Linked DNA regions of Caenorhabditis elegans. The protein of the gene in region 1 purifies or fractionates together with the protein of each later gene. This does not show direct contact. Each region holds a gene or a part of one and is shown in the gene's direction. Other genes may lie near its edges.

The links. The genes of interacting proteins can lie anywhere in the genome.
Region 2: the proteins of srw-137 (region 1) and cpt-6 fractionate together in Caenorhabditis elegans (co-fractionation; one large-scale study listed by BioGRID). This does not show direct contact.

What each region holds. Positions count from the first base shown.
Region 1 is NC_003283.11:2,942,059-2,945,943, reverse strand, and holds srw-137 (G-protein coupled receptors family 1 profile domain-containing protein), read left to right. Parts: upstream 1-1,984; coding exon 1,985-2,073; intron 2,074-2,125; coding exon 2,126-2,717; intron 2,718-2,764; coding exon 2,765-2,988; intron 2,989-3,118; coding exon 3,119-3,260; intron 3,261-3,304; coding exon 3,305-3,373; downstream 3,374-3,885. Other genes in the region: srh-87 (Serpentine Receptor, class H), read left to right, coding at 262-473, 524-669, 819-1,331, 1,381-1,565.
Region 2 is NC_003283.11:6,489,542-6,495,675, reverse strand, and holds cpt-6 (Choline/carnitine acyltransferase domain-containing protein), read left to right. Parts: upstream 1-1,754; coding exon 1,755-1,847; intron 1,848-2,061; coding exon 2,062-2,352; intron 2,353-2,398; coding exon 2,399-2,821; intron 2,822-2,960; coding exon 2,961-3,154; intron 3,155-3,953; coding exon 3,954-4,470; intron 4,471-4,521; coding exon 4,522-4,821; intron 4,822-4,868; coding exon 4,869-5,057; intron 5,058-5,232; coding exon 5,233-5,466; 3' UTR 5,467-5,590; downstream 5,591-6,134.

The sequences.
Region 1 (3,885 bases):
AAATTGAAGTAATTATGAAAATATGAGTATATTGCTTTTGTAGGTTGGAAACAGAGGGTATTTGATGTTTCACAATGACCGTGCTTCCTCATTTACTCCACTAGGTTCTTAGTTGTCTTTATTTTTGTTGAGATAACCAACTGAGTCATCCTGTTCTCAGAAAACTTTTGTCATTTTTTGTTTATAGAAAACAACTGTCATATCGACCAAAAAACTGGGTTTATTCACTTCACAGTTTTTTTTTGTGAAAATCGTGTGAGCATGTCTAGTCTCCGTGAGTATTACTTAACAAACTATACAACATGTCCAAGATGCGATACGTTTTTGTGCTCTTGGCAAGACTTTTCTTACACTTCCCATTTTTTGACTGCATTTTCACTTCCAGTTTATCTTTTTGGAGGTTACTGTATCCTATACAAAAGCCCAAAGGAAATGTCAACCTATCGAATTCCGCTTTTCAATTTCCATGTTTGGTAAGTATACACATCACAAACATTGACTGTGCACATGTAGAAATATTCAGGACGTGTCTGGCGGATGTGTTTTTGAATTGCCTCGGGACACCATATATATTTCTTCCAACTCTCACGGGATTTTCAGTTGGCTTGTTGAACTTTTTGGGTGTCCCACCGAAAATTCAGGCTTGGCTGGCATTTCAGAGTCTGAATTGTAAGTTTAGGTATCCGGAAGTGTAGCAATCTGGAAGCTGGAACAGTTCCCATCAGATACATTTTAAAAATCCGCAGCCGACATTGAGCGAGATCGCGTCAGACCACACAGCGCGCAATCAATTTCACAAAATCAAAAAATTGTTTCAGTCATGTTATTATCTACAACAATATTGGTAGAAAATCGGAATAACGCAATTCCATTCAACAAGTTCAAAATAACTCGGAAAAGTACGAAAACTATTTACTATCTAACAAAACTACTGATTGGAGTATTTTACGCAGCATCATTCACATTTTTCATACCAGCAAACCAGGAAGAAGCACTCTTTAAAGTTCTCAGACGGCTTCCATGTCCTTCTCAAGACTTTTTCACGGCTTCCAATATTTTTGTATTGTGCATCGATGATTATCATATTCATTTTTTAATTGCCTTCACAGTATTAGGAGTTGTGGTAGAAGTGATTCAAATTTTGTTTTACTTGACATGTTGTGTCTACTATTTGTTTTTCTCGATTCGTTCGTTTACTTCAAAGACCACGAGAAAGTTGCAAATTAAATTTTTGGCAAGCATACTTCTACAAATTTCAATTCCTGTTTTGTTCATGTTACCGACCGCTTTTTATATTTGGTTTGCTGTTGATTTTAATTATTATAATCAAGGTTCGGAATAAATTTGTGGGTAAATTTAAACAAAAAACCAATTTTCCAGCATTAACCAATTTGTCAATTCTTCATGCTTCAATTCATGGCTTAATATCTACAGTCGCTGTACTCATTATACATCATCCTTATCGGCAGTTCGTTTTGTCATATTTCTGGAAATCTAAACCAAAACAACCCTTGAAAAATATCGATATAGATTCTGTGGTAATTACTCAAATTGTTATCAAATAATTTTTTCATAAAAGGAGTTTTTTTAATAAACTATGTTTTTTTACAAACCTTACCTTTTTTCCTACAAATCAACAAAGCCGAAGAGCAGTAGAATGCTCAAATATCACAACAGGGATGTGCTGAAATCGGAAATTTTTGACAACTTTGGCCATTGCTGGAGCAATTGCCACCCGGCCATGCTTCAAAGTGATGTCTGAACGTAGCCTGAAAATTAAGGGATAATTATCATTTCTGCAGCTTCCGTCTTCGATTTAATAATATATTTTTCTGAGACAATTCCCTTTTTTTAGTTCCAGCTTTTGAGTAAAATATTCGTTCTTCAATTCCTTCCGCAATAAATCAAAAAAAAAAATTAAATTTCTGGAGGCTTTCTGTTTTTCCATTCCTTTTGATATCAAAAAGTTTTTAGTTTTACAACAATGATTAGTGACAAATATCTTCAAATTGATTTTCCGGGCTTTGAGCATTCTACTGCTCGTCGGCTATACCGAATCGAAAGATATCTGGCGTAAGTGTCATATAAATCAAAAGAAAGGTATTTCAAGATCAGAGAGTTTCAGAGTTTTCACAGAGAAAGTTCTGTCATATGAGTCTATCATTTCAATTACTTGTATTTTGGTAAACATTTTACATTCTGCAATTCTGACAAGAAAATCTATGAGAAACTCCTCCATAAATATCATTATGACTGCAGTGGCTATTTTAGACATTTGCACATTTTTTTCAGAACTCAAGAAAATCGTCGAGCGATTTCTCCGAGATTATTACGATTGTTTTCAAAGTGAAACATATACTTTTGTAATAATCGAAACTTCGTTTCAAGTCCTCCAAGACTATTCCCGGCGGTGTTCAACGTGGCTTTGCTTTCTCATCGCGCTTATTCGAACACTAGTCATCAGAAATCCTCTGAACCAAAGCTACCAGAAATTAGCCGGTCCTGCCCTCTCTGGTTTTGCAATTCTCGGAATATTATTTTTGAGTCTTCCGATTTCAGTGGTCTTTTCTCTGGAATATGAACTAATGAAAAGTTCTGTGCCATCATTTTGTAATTCAACTGAAACAACTTACTACACAGTTATATCTGATATGTTTGCGGATAATGATGGGTATTATTTGAAAATATTTTCAATTGTTAACGGGCTCGTTTCAAATGTAATTTCTTTTCGTTAGGCCTAACTACAGGGTTTTCTAAATTCCAGATAATTCCCTGCGTGCTCTTCCCGATAGTAACTTTCCTATTGGTCGTCGAGCTCTGGAAATCGGATAAAAAGCGAAAAAATCTTTCTTCCACTGCAAATGTAAATGACTCTAGAAAAACTACTAGACTGGTATTCTACATATCTATTACGTTTTTTATCGCCGAATTTCCGCTTGGAATAACATTGGGTGCAACTTGGTTTTTTCTCGATGTTCCTGGAATGAAGTGAGTTGATCATTGCCTGAGTGACGCCACTAAGGCATCGAGGAACTCCGTTTTTGATGCAACCAGCGAAATGTCGGCCGCGCGATAAATATCTTTTATTAAATTTTAACCGGGTTGTTTTATGATTTAGATCAATAATGAGTTACTTCTACTACAATTTTTCCTTGCTCCTGTCTGCAAATACAGCTACCCACTGCATAGTTTGCTTCTTCATGTCATCTCAATATCGGATTGCTGCAAAGCAAGTAGTGTCCTGTGGATATTTGACTCAGGTTCGGGTATGTTTCAGGCTTGATGCAACATTTTGTAGATTTAGAAAAACAAAGCAACTGTGATTCAAGTCACTCACACTAGTTCTGCAAGGCGACAAGTTTTTAAAAAGTGAGGTTGACAAAATGCCGAGGACGAGTGGAAATTGCTACAATTGTATGTTAATTTACTATGATTTGTATAGCTTTTCATTCAAGTGTTTTAAGAATAAATATTTTTTTCACTATCGGTAGAACATCTTGTTTTGATCTAGCTGGTTAGAGATGAATCAAAGAGATTTCTAACACATCTATGTTTTTTTTTCTTGAAGCTAATTAATTTTTCTCGAATTTTTTCTTTTGATTCATAATAACACGACGAAAAACATTGTCTTGTGTTTTTATCAGCTCCGCGCTTTGTTCAAAATATCAGAGAAAACCCGTTTCACATACATAGGTATATTCAAAAACTTTCAAATTATTCCAAAAGCTTGGGCCAAAAATTTCTGATTTTCAACTAAATTGGTGAAAATATTTAATTTAACTGTGCATTCCTGACTCACAAAAACAAAATTTCAACTATCCCCACTACACTCTGAGAAATTAAAAAAACCGGACGGCTTACATCCGGCATTAAATGTGGTGTAGT
Region 2 (6,134 bases), 3.5 Mb from region 1:
TCCTAGGCTACATCGTAGCACCCTAAAGCTTTCCCATTTCGACCAGCTGTGTTTGCATCCACGAATTTTCTCATAACCGCCTGCAGTGAAGATTCTCCGATAGTAGGTCAACCAGACAAACTTTCCCTCTCTATCATTTCGCCCTGCTTGTGTGTTTCCTTACTCTACATCAAACTGTTATCGGACATATTTTTCGTCGACATTTTGACCGGCGGTTATTGTACTTTTATAATTTTCCAGTGCGTTTTTAAGCTGAACTTTCATTTGAATTTTGGCGGGTTCTTTTGTAGCTTGCTCGATTTCCAGGTGACACAATTGATAGGGCTGGGAGATCTTTCAAACTTAAATCTAGAGTTGCACCAGGGAATATCATCTATATACTCGTACGATAATCTGAAATAATCGAATATCATTTTAAAACTACCGAAAATTCTTGGATTTTTCAGATTTTTCAGGAAAAATTTTGGTAAATAGCCAATTTTACCAAATTTAAAACAGGTTTTTTTGAGGAATTTGGAGCAATGCGGCATGTTTGAACTTTTTTTTATAGTAGGTAATTTTAGCACTGGTTTTAAACAGTACTCCCAATTCTTTTAAAATTATCAAAAACTCTTGATATCCCAACTTATTATTTTACTTCTGAAATTTATTTCCAAAATGAAAATATATTATTTTTAGTAGATAAATTGCACCATATTCTTTCAAACCACCTGCACCAAACCTCACAGGTCTGACTACAATCTAGTTACGACCCCTTTAAATCTAGATATTGATCGGCCTTCTATCTAGATTTTGTCCCATTGTTCCTTTTATCGACTAGAATTGTGCACACCATATGGTGTTCAATATTGCCTTTTTCCTCTTTTCCAGATACGTGTTCTACTTTTTTGTTTTCAGTTTGTTTTTGTTTTTTATAAAGCATTGAAAGTAAAATTTTTTTTAGAAATGCATATTGTTTAACTAGAATTTTTGATTTTTCCGGAATAATATTTGTTCTGTGTTACAAAATTTTTCAGAAAGCCTTTCAAAAATTTTGAAACTGAAATCTTTTTTCAAATCTTCCAAATAAAAAACATATTGAAGAATATATGACGGGTTTTTTCTAAAAAATTATTTTTCCGCAATGCTTTATTTGCAGGTTTTTCTCCAAATTTTGGTTGACAGAAAATAAATTCTATTCATAAAATATGCCGTATTTCCTTCTCACTCTACATCTCTCCATTTTCTGATGGGATTTAGAAACCCTATATTTGTTGTGCTCAGGCTTTTTTTTCGCTCATTCAACAACACGGAACAAAACTCTCGTTTTTCATCTTATTTTTTGCTTGAAGCAGACTCTGCTCACTCTACTCCACTTTGTACTCTACTCTTTTTGCTTCAAAAGCCATCGTTCTCTTATCTCAGCCATTTTTTGAAGAGTTTCCAGCACATGATTCTCTCGAAATATTTTGTTTCCTATCGATAAGATTATGAGAATGAAAGTCAACTAGAATACGATCAGAATACAATTTTGATCTTTCTCCTTTAAAAAGTCAGCAATAAGTGTAGACGGAGACTGGAGAAAAGGCAAAGTTAAATTGATAATGTAGATTAATTAGTTTTCTTTTTTTGTGATTCTCATCCCCCAATTTTATCACCACAACATCACTCACGTTCATCAAATTTGTTGTTTTTTCGTCTGCAGCCTTCTAAACTTTATTACCTATCCTGCCAATTTCAACTCTTCAATTTCAAAAACCTTACCATAATTTCAGATGTCGTCCAACAAAAAGAAAACAGTTCGTTCACCATATCCTTTTCCAACAAAATTCCCATCGCCAATTGAACAAGCATCCTACAAGACCTACGTAAGTTTTATCAAATCAGAAAATTGGCTAATTTACCTCAATTGACCTTTTCTACGTGTTGTGGGAAGTCAGAGAAAAACTAGTTGTTAAGTGGGTAGAATTTGGAATTTCGAATTGGATCTAGTTTAGGAAACAAAACACAGAAAACAATTTTTTTTTAAAACATTACCTTTTTCAAAGTTACCAAACAACCATGAAGTATCTATATTTTCAGAATTGGATTGAGAACACACTTTGGCCTATCAAACCGATTCCATTCGTTGCCACAACCGTTGCTCTGGCGGCCACCCTACACTACAAATACCCAGAAAATGCGATTCTTGATCTTCTTCCAAAGTTCGGATCGGAAGTTGCTGAAATTGCAAAAACCACTGCAGTCGCGGCAATTGGATCCTACGCAGGAGTATTCACACTTCGAAAACTTCTCAAGCACTTCTACTTCTCATACAAAGGATTCTTGTTTGACAACCCAAAGAAGCCATGTTTGAAAACGAAAATTTGGGGTGTAAGTTATTTTGTAACACCATCAGAATTTATTGTTCAAATTTCAGATTGTCCGACACATTCTCTCAATTTCCCCACCAATCCTTGAATCTTGTGATCGCCTTCTTCCGAGTCTCCCGGTACCAGCTCTCAAAGACACTATTTCTGAATACCTTGACTCCATGAAACATATTCTATCAGAACAAGAGTACGAGATTGTCGCCAAGCAAGCACATGAGTTTCTGGAAAACGAGGGAAAGAAGCTTCAGAGATACACGTGGATCTACTCTTTGTTCACCGACAACTATGTCACCTCGTTCTGGCAAAAGTATGCATATCTTCATGGGAGATACCCACTTATGATTAATAGCAGTGTTGCTCATTGTGACTTGCTCCGAGACAAAGAAGCAACACGAGCTCACAGAGCAGCTCGAGTAACCTGGATTGAAGTCATGTCGCATCTTGCAATTGATCGTCAACAGTACAAGGCGGTATGTTTTTTTTGTGATTCCTGATCGTTTGTATTTTGCCCTATTTCTTATCAGTGAATGTTACACGTCGCAATCTTGCACCGAAAAAAACCAAACAATTGTTTTGATAACATTTTATCATCAATATGAATGTTTCCAGCTTGGCGACGGACTTGTCTGCACCAGACATTACAAAAATATGTATGCAGTAACCCGAGAACCAGGGAAGAAGATTGATCAGCTGATATTGCACGGAATTCAGAAGCACATTGTAGTGGTGTTGCGTGGAAAATACTATAAGATTCACGTGGTTGATGATAAGAACAACATCTACACTGTGGAACAATTGACGAAGTACGTAAAAGTTAATCGAAAAAGGATCTGCACTACTGATATTTTATAACATCAGAGTTTATTATATTAGTCGCAAGACGCAAGTTGGAAAAATATTCTAACCAGGAAATTGCATATGGTGTAATGGAAATTGTAAAGCAAATGGCATATTTTCTAAAAGCTCATCAAAAGCTATGAAGAAAAAAGTTGCTAAAAGTTTTATCGTTTGCTAACTTTGGCAACTGCCGATATCATCTTCGAAATTGAATTCAAATATTTTTGTTAAAAACAACTCATTCAGAGATGCTGAAAAATGCGAACATCTTACTGTTAAATACCATTTTTTCTTAAAAATTCCAAAGTATAAGCTCAGCAACAATTTATTTTAGAGCAACGCTAAAACTACTGAAACTTCAAAAAATGGGGGTAGCCAAAAATACAGAGTTAATTACATATTTAAATTTTAAACACGTTATATATACACGAAATTTCAAAAATTTATTTTAAACGCATTTGGTTATCTTTATGGAAAATATGGAATTTCAAATGTGCACTGATTTTCAAATTTTTTTAAACTGAGAATTTTGGAAAATATGGAGTTTCAAATGTGCACTGATTTTCAATTTTTTTTAAACTGAGAATAATGGTGAATATGGAGTTTCAAATGTGCACTGATTTTTAAATTTCTTTGAACTGAGATGCATATAAGCGTCAAAAAAACATGCTAAAAATTTCAAAATTTAATGTCAGCAACTTGCCAAACATTTTAATAAAAATTCCAAGTAAAGCTTTAAAAATCAATATAAATAATTAATTCTAGAATTTTCCACGAAATGATTTCCCGAGACGAGAAGGAGGAAGGGGTTATTGGAAAAATCGCAGCATTGACCCACGATACCAGGGACTCTTGGCACAGAAACCGTCAAAAGTATTTCCTTGGAAACGTGAAAAATGCTCAAATCCTCAAGGAAATCGAGTGTGCTGTATTCTTTTTCACACTCGATGAGAATGATGATTATGGATATGATGAGAAGAAACCCGAAGTTCTCAGCAACTTCCTTGCCAATTGTCTTTCTGGAGATGGAACTAATCGATGGGTTGATAAGTCTCTTAATTATATTTGTTCGAAAAATGCTCGATGCGGTGGAACAACTGAGCATTCTATTGCGGATGGAGCAGAATTTGATCATATTATGGAAAACTTTGTATATGTAGATTTGGAAGTTTTGAAATACAAATCAATTGAAGAGCAAGAGAAAATGGCAGTTATTGAAGAGAATGATAAGAAATCTCTGAAGCTTGCTACTCCATTGAACTTTGAAGTTCCAGATCAAGAGGTAAGCTTCATTTTTTGCCTTACCTTTCAGGTCAAAATAATCATTTTTCAGATGCTCTCCGAGATCACTCGCTGCTACGATGCTCATCAAATCGCCAAGAATGACCTTGACCTGTATGCCCTTGCATTCCGTGATTTTGGAAAAGGACGTATCAAGAAGTGTGGTGTCTCACCAGATGCATTCATTCAAATGGCTATTCAACTTGCCAACTATCGAGATCAAGGCAAATTTGTGCTCACATATGAACCAGCATCAGCTCGATTCTTTGCAAACTCGAGGACCGAAACTTTGAGAACAGTTAACGATCACTCTTGTGAATTTGTGGAAGCTATGTTGAATGCAAATGAAACGGTAAGTTAATTTGAAGTTATTAAGACGATGAAAAATTCAAATTTCAGAAAGAAGCCAAGATTGCTCTTTTGAAAAAAGCTTGTGAAACTCATGTTCTTCGAAACAAGAAGTGTATGGTTGGGCAAGGAGTCGATCGTCATCTCTTTGTTCTGTATATTTTATCTCAAGGAACGGGGATTCAGAGTCCTTTCCTTGACAATTATATTAATCAAAAGTGGAAGCTATCTACCTCACATGTGAGTAATCATTAAAATAAGATGACATAGTGCTATGTATTTGGCAGTTGTATCACGTAACTTTCTAATAATGAGCTGAAGGATTTTAATTCAAACATTTTTCAACAATTGCTTTTTCTGGATTTTCCTAATTATTTTTTTTTTAACTTTACAATTTGAACATATCCTATTCCAGGTTCCAAACGTGACTAATCAATGCGACGAGGACACTGATTCAGACAACACTTGGCTCGGAGCATGCTTCGGAGCAGTCGCTGCTGATGGCTACGGAATCTGCTATCGCTTTGGAGGAAACCACGGAATCTTTGCAAACATCACAAGTTATCATTCCGCTGCCAACACTGATTCAACAAAGTTTGCAAAGTTGCTCTCCGAATCGTTCCACGAACTTTCAAACCTTTTCGTTTGAACCATCCCATTTTGTAACAAACGGTTTTATACCCATAACTTGTACCAATTTGAACTCATTCTGCACTATCATTCTAACCTGTTTCATATATTACTGTCACTCAGTCAATAAAATAATTTTTATTAAATAAAAAATTCTCTCGTGTATGACCCATTCAAAAATCACCTGAAATGACTCATGACCAGTTCACGATCTATGCTCAATTCTTGGTGTACACCAGACTATGACTCATGTAAAACTGGTGAAATGTCAAACAGAGTTTCCGATCAAAAATGGCAATTGTACGAGAATTTCATTTTTGATAGCATCACGTTGTGTGTGCCGATGGAAAGATGATTTTAGCACAAAAACTGCAAAAAACGGTTTTTATAGTGCACCAAAAAAGATGGAAAAAGATCTGAAAATGAATGAAATTGAAACTTAAATCTCTTAAGATTAAATATGAAATTTTGCCAATCTTTTCGGTAGGTTTTTGAAATCATGGAAACAGTTCTGGAAAGTTTGCAAACTTGACTATTTGTTTAGCTGACAAATTGTTGATGTGACTTGAATTCGCACCCTTTTCTAGATGAACTAATCCAAATTAACAAACGTAACGAAACATTTTCGAGGACAACAATCCTTTCATATTCATAACTACAGAAATCTGAACACCTTTTCAAAACATT